Schizosaccharomyces pombe: one gene and its partners. Each later gene encodes a partner of the first gene's protein in a complex. Each region holds a gene or a part of one and is shown in the gene's direction. Other genes may lie near its edges.

Region 1 (3,213 bases):
GGTTTTGGTTAAATTGATGTTAGAATAGCTCTCAGTATGATGCAAATCATAATATATATCCTCAGCATCGTCGTGATATAATGTTGGACAGCTATGATTTCGTATGTCAGAAGAATGTCTCGAGGGACAGTCCGATGATACAGAAAGATGAGATGAGGTATGCTTAGATAATGCTGCTCCCACGTCCTGATTAAAGAGGGGCTCATCCTTCCAACGAAGAATGGAGCCATCACGACTAGTACTCCATATGAAAGATTGACGAGCAACAATGTCAGAGACAGGAGCATCCTGCTTGCATATTGCAGTACAGCTTTGGTTGTTAGGCTGGTTTCTTATATCAGTACGAGTAATCAAGCCTGAGCGATCACCAGCATAAAATACTTTTAAATCTGGGTGCTCAGAATATAATGCCCATACACTGTCTGAATGAGCTATGAAAGAGAATAAACATTTTTGCGCCCTTAGAGACCAAAGCTTTATTGTAGCGTCTGAAGAGGCTGTGAGAATTGTTCTGCCATCATCACTAATTAGAATATCTCGAACATTGTCAGTATGACCGACTAAATCTGTAATCCTTTTCTTGGAAACACAATCCCATAACTGAATGTCTTTTTGTAGTCCGCCGTTAGCAATTATGTTGTTATTCGCTGCCAGCGAGTAAACACCAGATCTTGGACCAACAACAAGAGAACAGTCAGGTAACTGTTCAAATCGCATAACTTCTTGACCTACGTTGTAGTCCCATACAATTATCCTTTTATCCAACCCACCCGAAGCGACTAACGGACTCTTGGAATATTTGGGAATGCTTACGCGCTTTACGTAGTCGGTATGCTCGCCAATTGTTGATAAACAAGAAGCATTCAAGACATGTGGCTTCCAGAGTTTCACCGTTGAATCAGAAGAACAAGATATCACTAATAAATGTTAGAACGTCAATTTCTATAAGGCTACCGCTATTCTCCAGAGATAATTAAATTTTTCAAAGGCTTACCTCCTTCGGAATCATGTGTTAAAGCTATATCATTTACCCAAGCAGAATGAGCCTGGATTTTGGCTAAGGGCTGGGAAGCTTTACCATAATCATACCCGATGTCCCAACCGAAAAGCTGTCCATCTCGGCCACCACTGTAAAGTGCTCTAGTAACTGGTGCTGACCCTTGTTCTGAAAAGTACCGACCTAGCACTAGACAATTAGCATCCAAACGGTGCCCTAGTTGATCGTTACAGGAATCAAGAACATAAGTAACCTTGTACCGTTTCCGAACACTCATGAGAACAATAAATGAATTATTAATCTCTTAAAACAATGCAATTATAAACAAAAAATCCAATTCAAACGTAAAAAATAAAAATTTATATTATATGATGTCGAATTCAATTTATTGAATGAATTCAGGTTCAAAAGTATTGCAGAAAGATAGTGTGTCCTGAGTCTAAAACGCAGCGGATAAATAAACCCTTTTACTTGGAAACAGGAAACAGTAATGGATCCAAATATTTTGGTAGCGAGTACCTATACAAATATATTATATGTTTTGACTTAGCGATGAATAGCAATTCCTCAAATAACTCAGATGTTAAAGAACGGATCCTACTGCTCATTAAAAATGGATGGAAACGATGAACTTCCAAACCATTTACCTACTAATAAGTAGTCCGATCGATATTGGCATTTGATAAAGCAATAATTAGGCGGCTGATGCTAAGAATTGTAGATAACATTATGTTTGAGCTCGACGAAAATAGAATCAAGTTAGGAGATTCGTTAAAGGATTTATCACCACGTCCTAAATGTCGTTAAATTTTGGTAGTACTCCAAGTGATATAGAAAGATGCTAACGTATGTACATTCATTTTTGTAAAAGTTATTTCTATAATGAATGATCAAAATGAGCGGCGTTTGGAAACTCTGTCTGGGCAGGTTTCTTCTTTGAAAAACGTAACCTACGATATTTATTCCCGTGCCAATGACTATACTCGAATTGATCGGGCTGTATGTAATTTAAAAAAAAAAATTTGAGTTTTTACCTAACCTGTATTATTATAGACTGAAAGCTTTTCAGGACTTTCAAATTCTGTTAAAAAATCCACCGAAAATTTCTTCCGTGTGGTTCGAAGTGCCGGACGACGAAGAATCATGACAATGGTGCTGGCAATCGTAGGGAGTATACTAATAATCTACTATGCATCCAAATGGTTTTTTTAACACGACATGAAAGCGAATGCTACATAAAGGAACGGATATAATGACATAACCTCCTGCTTCAAAATTATAAAATGTACAAGCTTTGAATTCTTATAGGCAATAAATTTATCGATGAATATTCTGAAGATAAATTTGAAAATATAAGCGCAGAATTACATGAAATATTCTTAACGAAATACTACTCCTTCCTCGAAATTTCAATAAGTCCACCATAAAAGTAAAAATAATAAAAAATTTAATTATGACTGTATATCCATATTAAGCTTGATATTCCTCACTTTTAGGAAAGAGTTTTAAGCAAAGAGACGCAGTACTAATTGAATAGAATCATGACATTGTGCCACAAACTAAGTATTCATTCACCTTCAACCGGCAAAAAAAAAAAAAAAAAGATCAAAAGGAAGGGCACAAAAATAAATAATAATAAAAATTTTAACACCTTAGCTTCACGTTCAAGCTTTGTGCATGCAGACCATGAGATGTTTGTATTGATTTAGGCTTTTTTAAGAACACAGCATTCAAATGTACGGAAGTACAGGTAATGAATACTCTTTTTCCGATGTTTGCGCAAAAATTTAAAAATAGTGCTCAAAACTTCAATTTCTTCTTGAAAATCCAGATGGAAGCATACGCGCCCGTCTTAAAGCGTCTAGTGCGTTTCGGTGACTTCCTACACGAGCTGATGTGGGCCTATGCGGGGCAGAAGACGATCCATTTGGATTGGAGGCTTGAGAAAGATGAGCTAAAGAAGCACTACTGTGAGATGGGCTTATACCCGAAGAAGAAGATGTGGAGTGTTCGAATGACCTACGACTATCCAAGGATTGTCGTGTACTTTCAGTTGGAGAAACAAAAAATGAAGGAGATGTACGTTGTGGTGGAGTAACGATACCAGGTGATGGAGGACGTGAAAGGTGCTCAATTCGTGCAACATCTTCATAACTAGGTAATGTTGATTGTAAGGGTGATTCTAATGGAACGGCTGATCTTGTTGCTTCCTTATA
Region 2 (4,081 bases), 1.5 Mb from region 1:
AAGAGAGCCACTTTCTCCAATGTCTTTTGTACGGATGCGTTCACATCGCGTTAATAAAATTGGCCGTTCTAGTCAACAATGTGACCATGTCCTATCCACGGTTGATAAAGCAATTTCTCGTGTACATGCTATTGTAACTTGTACACAAGACCGCATGATTATTGAGTGCGTGGGTTGGAATGGGATGATTGTGTCTGATAAAATGAGGAAGTCAGTATTCCACATGAAGAAAAATGATCGGATTGTCCTGGTAAGACCGAATTCGGATGCTTGTCCTGTACTGGATGTATTCGGTTACCGAGTTCTTCTTGGTTGGCCAAGTGATTCTGAAGATGAATGGGAAGGAAATCTTAATGCTAAAAATTATGAAGAAAATCGTGAACCTATGTCTCCTTCACCTCAAGAAGCTTTACCTTTGATGCCTTCATCACCTCCTTCTCAAGACTATCAAAACGATCAGAATCATCTCATATTGTACACTAATTCCGAATCCATTCCTAAGCTAAACTTGCGTAGTAACGAATTAGTATATCCTCCTCCATCCAAAGATTTGTTACAAAAGCTTCTTGCCTTAGAAAAAGATGGTCAGGTGGAAAAGTCTGATTGTTCCAAAAATACACAATTAAAACCATCTTTTCTCCCAAAGAACACCGACGATTTACTCAATGGCACTGATGATAATAACATCGTTTTAAGAGAAGTTAAGGTTTCTTTTGAGAACGAAAAAATCGAGAGTGATGATCTTGATAAAAATGAGGAAATTAGTGAAGGTGAAGAATACACTCCAATTGAAGAGTCAAAAGAGCCTATAACAGTAAGACGGGATAGCGTTATACAAATTGATGAATCGTCCGCTGGACTAACGGACGTTATCTCTGAACTTAATTTTACAAACCATAATGATGACTCAAAGAATTCTAATATTACAACTTCAAATGATTCCCCAGTGAACGAAGTTGAGCCAATGGCTCCTGAATTGAGTTCAGCAGTTGTGGAAAAGAAGGAACCTGAAGACTACGAAAGCATCTCTGCTGTTGATGAGAACACTAATGACAGTAATGAATCCCTCCCTTCTAGCCATGATTACTCAGAATCAACAAAAGAAAATTCAGCTCCCGATAGCTTATTATTAGGATTGGTTTTAGATGAATTGGTTTTCTCAACAACTTCAACTACTCCCCTTCCTGCACTTTCGCATTTATTTCCTTCCAATATGCCACTTCAATTAATTCAGGACAAGCTTCGAGACTTGGCAGCCAAGCACCCCTACTTTGAAGAGGTTAAACGTTACGGAACTGATGCTAATGGTGATCCATTGTGGAGTGAATGGTTTTATAACCCAGATGTGGATGATGATTTAGAACGGCGTATGAGATATGCTCCATTAATGAGACCAGTAAGATCCTCACGTCGTGTACATAAACAATATTATTGGAAAAAGCCCCGAGCTCGTCCACGTTCATCGGGACATTCTTCTAGGCGTCGTCGTCTTTCATAACGAATTGAATGCTGGCATCAGACACGACCCCTATAAAATTTCGCTTTTTGATATTGTATACATTTCGTTATTACGAATGGAATTATTAGATTTTTCAAATGGGGTTCAACAAAATACAATTGAACTCAATAGTGATTTACATTTAATATGAATTTTGGGTAAAAAAACGCATTCTTTTTTATAAAACTGTATTTACAATGTATAGAAATAAATTGCTACTTTAAGCTATTTACAATTTTGATATAGCATTCAAGTAACGTGTTACTTGCTACATGTGTTGTCATATCAAAGACAAGAAAATAAATTACCCTCATATTGGAACCAACTACGGCAAGAGAATGAGCAATACTCTTTATAATCACGTATGTAACTTCCTAAAGTTTTAGAAAACATATTAATTTGTATTTCGCTAGTGTACAAAGTTGTTTCAGTCCATTCAGCGAAGCCTCGATGAGTTAGAACGTGGTGTTCAAGATGAGAGCAACACTATATCGTTAGCTGGAATTCAGGGTATGTGTAGATGAATAATTATGGTACTTATTTTAACCAAGTTATTCATGAGACTAATGCAAATCAATTTAGGCCAGATCTCAGCTTCATTTCTGTCATTATCCAGATCCATTGATGACTACGATAGTATGGTCCAAAGGGAATTGGTTCCCGCTAAAAAAAAAAAAGCTACAATACGAATCCAAGAGTTCCGTCAAAAGCATGTTCAGTTGTTGGAAAAATTTGATGAGTTGAAGGCACACGTTCGTGACATTGCGCAAGCAAAAAATAGAAAAGAATTGTTAGGGAGGCGTGGGTATGTGAACTCTCTTGATAGTCCCTACGGAAATTCAACAACGGATGCAGAAATTGTGGAAGGGCCATCAGATCTAAGCAGACAAGATGGTTTATTAAAGGAGCATGATTTCCTTGGTCGTGCAGAATCTCAAGTTGACGAATTTCTAGAACGTGGGCGGATGATTCTTGGTGATTTAGTTGAGCAGGGAAGCGTTTTAAAAGCTACTAAGACAAAAGTACTGAATGCCGCCAATACCCTTGGCATTACTCGCCATACTCTATCTTTAATCAACCGTAGGTCCAAACAAGACAAGATTATATTTTATTGTGGAGCATTCCTTGTATTTGTCCTCTTTTACTTGATTTACAGGTGGTTACGCTAACATGTTCATGTCGTTGGCTTGTTTAAATTTACTATTCTTATATGATATGGGGCAGTACAACAAAATCAAAGATGATTAAAAAATTTGAAGAGCTTCTTGAGAGTTAAATTTTTTATTAATTATTTTTAAAAATAAGCTATACATTTTGCACTTGTTAGCTTCTCCTTGCAAGCTATTACTGTTGTGTTTTTTTCCTTCTGTTTATGACATTCCACTAATCACGCACTTATGGGCCTTTTAAATCTAATTCTTTCTTTGTGTTTTTTTAAATCCTTAGTTTGTCAATCAATTAATACCGTTGCGGTAATGCTTGACTAAAACACCTTCTCTTCAGGCGGTTGCTTTGAAATGCTTCAATTGTGATTCCATTTCATTTTATTTTAATATCCAAGAGAAAATTAACTTACCAATGGGCAATAGTTTTTTTTCCTTAGTTTCTTCGTAATTTGCTCAGTTAAGCTATGTATTAAAAATAATAAAATAGACTAAAACTAATTGTCATCACGAACCGTTAGTTGACGACTGTTTTACACTATTTTTATTGTCAACCGTTTTCAATGCAACTTAAGAATTTGTCGAAAGCCAATTGAAATTTGTATTCATATATATTAATTTTGTACCATATATATTGTAATAACTGTATTGGATGAAGTTAACTTTTACTAAAGAAACTCGAGACACGTTTGTTAAAATTAATATCGTTAGCGATTATCCTTTCGTATACCATAATACACCAAACTATCCTCCATTCTCATCTTTTTAAATATCTAGCGCCAATATTTAGTAATTCCTATAAGAATTATTTAATGTTTTTAAATAAGTATATATCAAACTATTCCAGAACCAGGGCTGTGAGCTGCGCTCCAGTTCTATCATACAAGAAATGTAGTTATCGAAATTTCAATGGTTTATTACAGGCAAGATTTCAAAGCAACAACTTGAGTTGGTCCAATAGAAACAGAGTGGTATATAAATCATTTCAGCCCAATCCTAGAGACAAGAGGTTTCAATGGATTTTTGGTGCTCTTATTGCAGGAGGAGGTGTATACTATTTTACACATTTGGAATACGTTCCTATAAGTAACCGTCGAAGGTTTAATGATGTTTCTTTAGATTTTGAAAAGCGAATGGCACAAGACGCCTACAAAGAAGTAATGTCTGAGTACGGAGACCGTATGTTACCAAGTTACCATCCTACTACCCTTTATGTTTCACGTGTCCTTAAAAGAATTATAGCTGTTTCTGGTATGTCTGATTTGAAATGGGAGTTACATGTAATTCGAGACCCCACACCTAATGCGTTCGTCTTACCCGGAGGGAAGGTCTTTGTATTCGAAGGTATTCTCCCAATGTGTAAAGGAGAAGATGGTCTAGCTGCTGTCCTTGCCCATGAAACTGCACATCAGGTAGCCCG
Region 3 (4,869 bases), 370 kb from region 1:
CTGAAACAATAATAGATGTTAGTTTTATAGCTCTTTCAAAAAACCATAAACTTGTTTTACTAGAATCCCAAAAGGATCCTTCGTTGGCAGAACATCTTCGCAATGAATCCTTACTAGACAAAGGATATCAGCTCCCGTGCTTTGCAAAAAATCCAGTAACTGGCAAAGCTTTACCAATATTTTATGCTCCTTACGTTTTGGACTGTTATGGTACTGGCGCCGTTATGGGCGCACCTATTCACGACCGCCGAGATTTTGAGTTTGCTAAGCGTAATAACATAATATTTTCTAAAGAAAGTTGTATAGGTTCATATTTTACAAATGAGGGAAAAGAACTTTTGAATCATCATGATTCTTCGAATTTAATGGATATCAAGCAAAAAATGCTTCAGCAAAAGATTGTCAGTTACCTTGAAGAGAAGAAATTAGCCAAACGTGTTAAAAATTATAGACTCAAAGATTGGCTTATATCAAGACAAAGATTTTGGGGTACTCCTATACCAATGGTTCACTGCGAAACCTGTGGTGCTGTCCCAGTCCCTGAATCTGAACTTCCTGTAAAGTTGCCTGATCTTGATAAAATATATGAAAAAGGTACTTCGCCGTTATCAAATCTAGAAACATGGATGAAAACAACCTGTCCGAAATGTCATGGCCCAGCAACAAGAGAAACTGATACTATGGACACATTTGTAGACTCATCATGGTATTATTTTCGTTTTTTGGATTCTAAAAACTCGGAGCTTCCTGTAGGTTTAGCAAGTGCGTCCTCTTTGATGCCTGTTGATATTTATATTGGTGGCGTTGAGCATTCAATACTTCATCTTCTATATTCCAGGTTTTTTTCAAAATTCATGAAGGATATTGGGTTATGGAATGGTGATAAATATTTAAATGAACCATTTACTCAACTAATTACTCAGGGGATGGTTCATGGTCTTACTTATACAACGATGTCGGATGAACGAATACTTAATCCAAAAGAAGTCCAGAAAATTGGAGACGAATATTTTCTAATCAGTAATCCTAAAGAGAAAGTTCAACTTTCTTACCAGAAAATGAGCAAAAGCAAGCATAACGGTGTAGATCCGATACGTACTATTCAAAAATATGGCTCAGACATTATTAGAGCTTACATAATATTTTCAGCTCCAGTGGAAGGCGTACTCCTTTGGAATGAAAATGCAATAATGGGAACAAAACGGTGGTTAACCAAAATATGGAATTGTGTTCATCAGTTATTGGAACGTGAGAAAAAAATGTCTGATGCGATGAGACAAACGAAGTTAACTATTGTCGACGATCACAATAGCAGGAAACTCGAATCACAATATAATGAATTTATTTCACAATGTTCTGCTCATTATGAAAATGTATTTTCTCTCAATTTAGTAATTTCTGACGCCATGAAATTGACTAATAATATAGCAGATGCTTTAAAAAATAACAAAGTCAATATCGGAACAATTAAAGCATCTTTGGAAGTGCTTGTGAAATGTATTGCTCCAATAATACCTTGTTTTTCAAGTGAGTGTTGGTTGCTGCTAGGACATAATTCTTCCGTTTACTCTAACTGGCCCATTTCCAAAAATAAAAAGGAGAATATGGAGGAGCCCGTTACTATTCCTGTCCAAATTAATGGTAAGGTGAGATTTAAGATTGAAATGCCCAAACTCAATGATGAAAATGAAATACTAAATTTTGTGCTTGAGACGAATGATGGGAAACGTTGGCTCTCTAATAAAAAAGTTTTAAAATCTTTTGTGAAACAAAAAATCATCAGTTTAGTCACCGACTGAAAGTTGGTTGAGACACGAGCTTCATGTTTCAAAATAATTTTGATATTTACCATAACAATGCAATGTTGGTTGCGTAGTTAATTTAATGCTTAAAATTCATTTTGAATGAAAAATATCCTATCTTAATATCACAATGTTTTCTAGTAGCATAGCTTTTCTATCACTGGTATATTTAGGAATCTCTACGTAGTGGGATACTTCTCTAAACTACATACTAGTAAGAACGTCATCTGAAAGCCACATTAATCAACAGAAGAGAAACGTTTGTTTTAAAATCATAACTTAAGCTACTAATTTTTCTCTTATAAAAATTTGAAGATCTCTTTAGCCATGAAGTCTATGCTTTTGAGAGATTCGGTGAAAAAAGCGTCTCAGTTCCAAAGATCGTTGCACAGTGATCCTAACCAAGCTAAAATTCTGCTAGAGGAAAGAAGGAAGCTTCTTGAAGAAGCCAACTCTTCAGCTGACGAAAATGACTCGCATTCAATGGCTACTATCAAATCACATTTTGAAAGACTAAAACGAGATGAGCAACTTCTTAATGGCGTTTTGAAAAAATATGATGCGAAACAGGAAGTTCTATCTCCTGAAGAATTACGAGATGCACAAAACTTTTTAGAAATGCAAGAGGCAAACTCTTTAGACAATTCTATTAGAGGCACTAATGAGCTTCTTGAAAGAGCTTATGCTACGAGGGAAGACTTTGATTACCAAAATAGCGTCTTAGGAAATGTGACCAATCGCATAAACGGGGCGGCCATGTCAATCCCTTTTATTAATCAAATATTAAGGAAAACCTCGATCCGTCGAAGACGTGATTCTATCATTTTAGCTTTACTCATATCTGTCTTGATGCTTTTGTTCCTTTTTTTTCATTAAGTTGCATGTTTTATGAAACGTTTATGAAGGGCATTGATCCCGCCAAAGTTATGAATATGTCATAAAGGTTTAATTAAGATGAAATAATATAAAAGTCCTTTTACTTTTAACCAACGTTTTTATTTACCAAAAACTTAATCGCTGTCTTCAGGTTTTCAATTTCGACATTAGTTGGATCACCGGTTCCAAGCCAGCGAATTTTGCAGGAATCGTCAATTAAATACACATTTCCAACAAGTTTGTTGTTCCATCCTATTTCTGGGAAACTGAACTTATTGTCGTATGCTGTAATATATTCATTCTGCTAGTTAGCAAAAGGTTATAAATTTTGGAAGTAAATAAATCTATCTTATCAAGCGAACAAACTTGTGAGCAGCTTGGACAAATAATGCGTCTACTTACCCAGCACTTTTCTGGTATTGATCTTTTAACTTTTCCTATAAATATCTTCTGTAGCCAATATTTTATTAGATTGGATTGAACATTTGCATAACGAACTGGCAGATAATCAAATGGAGCTAGATGTTGAATCCAATTCCTACATTGGTTTTCTCCAAACGCGTTGCTAAATAATGCAAAGAAAAAGGGCGAGCCTTGCCAATCTTTATATAGCTCTTTGTACTGATTTCGTAATGACTTCCCATGAAAGTTGTACATCCATAAGGCGCTCTAAAACGTGTCAATATTTTTAAGCAATAAACTAATTTTTTTTCATTCTTATTTGAAATTTCCAGAAATGAATATTACTTTTAACCAATTGTTCATACCTTCTCCTTAAATAATCTTGGAGGACTGTAAAACAGCTTACCATTAAATCGACGAACTTCGTTGAAATCTTGAATAGTTGATCTCTTCATTTCATTCAGCAGCTCCTTCTGTCTTTGCTCAGGAGAAGATGTACTCGCGGGTTTGGTAAGTTTTTCCCATAATGTTGGCTTTTGGACTTCAGAAAGCATCGTCGGTTTTACCAGTAAACCTACTGGAATGAGAGCAGATGGGGCTTTTTCTTTTGTATCATTGAGACTTTTGGTGCTAAAAGAACGCAACTTGAACTGATGCTTAACAATCAACCTCGGAATGACTAAATTTTTTAAATAATTATATGCCATGTTTACCAATTATAGGTAGATTAAAGGGGAAATAATCTTTAATTTATTATGCGATTTAAGAAACGCAAGGATGAACTTAATTATTATTATAAACTTCAATAGATAGGTATAGCAGAAAGGAGCTGTTGTTACAGGTGGAAGTACTCTGACGTTAAAAATTCATATCTTAATTTTCATTTTGGTTTTTTAATTTGTTTTTGGACATTAGTATATATCTACGATAAAGGTTTTCTCCTTTTAATTTCATTGTAATATAATTCAAGACTAAAATTGGCTTTTCATTGGATTGCGAATCTTTCATTGAATACTATCTTTTCAACTTACATTGAACGTGCATGTAAGGATAGGAAATGGAATGCTGAGATAATGAACAATACAAACCTTTCTAATTAATTCAATGTTTAAAGCAAACTCATTTAGCGAAAAATTCTAGCTTATTAAAACAGCTGTCAACCAGGGCGTAGAGATTACAATATAAAGACCTTACTTACCCTTCTTAATGTACTACAATACAAAATCATAGTTAAAAGAGTAGCTTTTTACGTCCCTGCCGACTGTTTATGTAGATGCATGAAAAACTATGAGAATATAATTTAGTAATCGTTTATATAAGCTAATACGCATTAATATTATATTAATTCATAATGCTTAAAAATCAAAGCAATTTCAATTTCCAAGTGGGTTAGAAAGTACTAATGGGGGGTCCATATTCTCTTTAAGACATTACTCACTTGAATAGCAATTATGACTTCGTCTACTACCTCAAGTACTATGTGGGGGGGTTGACCACTTATGAAAGTGAACCTACTAAAGTAGTTAGTGATACAAAAAAATAACTAAGTGCGCAATAATTCTCCGTCAACAAATAAATCGTTGAACTAGTATTAGTATATTGGCGTATGTAAGCTAATATAGTCGTTGTTTGCGTAAAACGAATTCAAATGGCTCCCAATCTGTGTTAATACGTTATGTTATGTATGATATAAGCACATTGAACATATCGGGATGAGTCAGTACTATTTTATTATTAACAAAATTGGTTAGAATTGAATATGACAAGTTGAAGACTCAATCAGCTAAGT

The links. The genes of interacting proteins can lie anywhere in the genome.
Region 2: sft1 (region 1) and bos1 share a complex: the UniProt entries of both Schizosaccharomyces pombe proteins name them as parts of the SNARE complex.
Region 3: sft1 (region 1) and gos1 share a complex: the UniProt entries of both Schizosaccharomyces pombe proteins name them as parts of the SNARE complex.

The regions. Positions count from the first base shown.
Region 1 is NC_003424.3:413,467-416,679, reverse strand, and holds sft1 (SNARE protein Sft1), read left to right. Parts: upstream 1-1,840; 5' UTR 1,841-1,879; coding exon 1,880-1,996; intron 1,997-2,050; coding exon 2,051-2,209; 3' UTR 2,210-2,435; downstream 2,436-3,213. Other genes in the region: bun107 (WD repeat-containing protein), read right to left, coding at 1-917, 995-1,274; rod1 (arrestin/PY protein 1), read right to left, coding at 2,806-3,213. UniProt on the Schizosaccharomyces pombe protein: Vesicle SNARE required for retrograde transport within the Golgi complex.
Region 2 is NC_003424.3:1,923,266-1,927,346, forward strand, and holds bos1 (SNARE protein Bos1), read left to right. Parts: upstream 1-1,815; 5' UTR 1,816-1,836; coding exon 1,837-1,860; intron 1,861-1,901; exon of another isoform or gene 1,902-1,911; coding exon 1,912-2,008; exon of another isoform or gene 2,009-2,080; coding exon 2,081-2,667; 3' UTR 2,668-3,274; downstream 3,275-4,081. Other genes in the region: tos4 (transcription factor), read left to right, coding at 1-1,498; metallopeptidase Oma1, read left to right, coding at 3,474-4,081. UniProt on the Schizosaccharomyces pombe protein: SNARE required for targeting and fusion of ER-derived transport vesicles with the Golgi complex.
Region 3 is NC_003424.3:779,358-784,226, forward strand, and holds gos1 (SNARE protein Gos1), read left to right. Parts: upstream 1-2,003; 5' UTR 2,004-2,129; coding exon 2,130-2,678; 3' UTR 2,679-2,784; coding exon of another isoform or gene 2,785-2,979; 3' UTR 2,980-3,080; coding exon of another isoform or gene 3,081-3,347; 3' UTR 3,348-3,445; coding exon of another isoform or gene 3,446-3,787; 3' UTR 3,788-4,062; downstream 4,063-4,869. Other genes in the region: SPOM_SPAC4G8.09 (leucine--tRNA (Leu) ligase), read left to right, coding at 1-1,799; atp10 (F1-F0 ATPase assembly protein), read right to left, coding at 2,785-2,979, 3,081-3,347, 3,446-3,787. UniProt on the Schizosaccharomyces pombe protein: Nonessential SNARE involved in retrograde transport within the Golgi complex.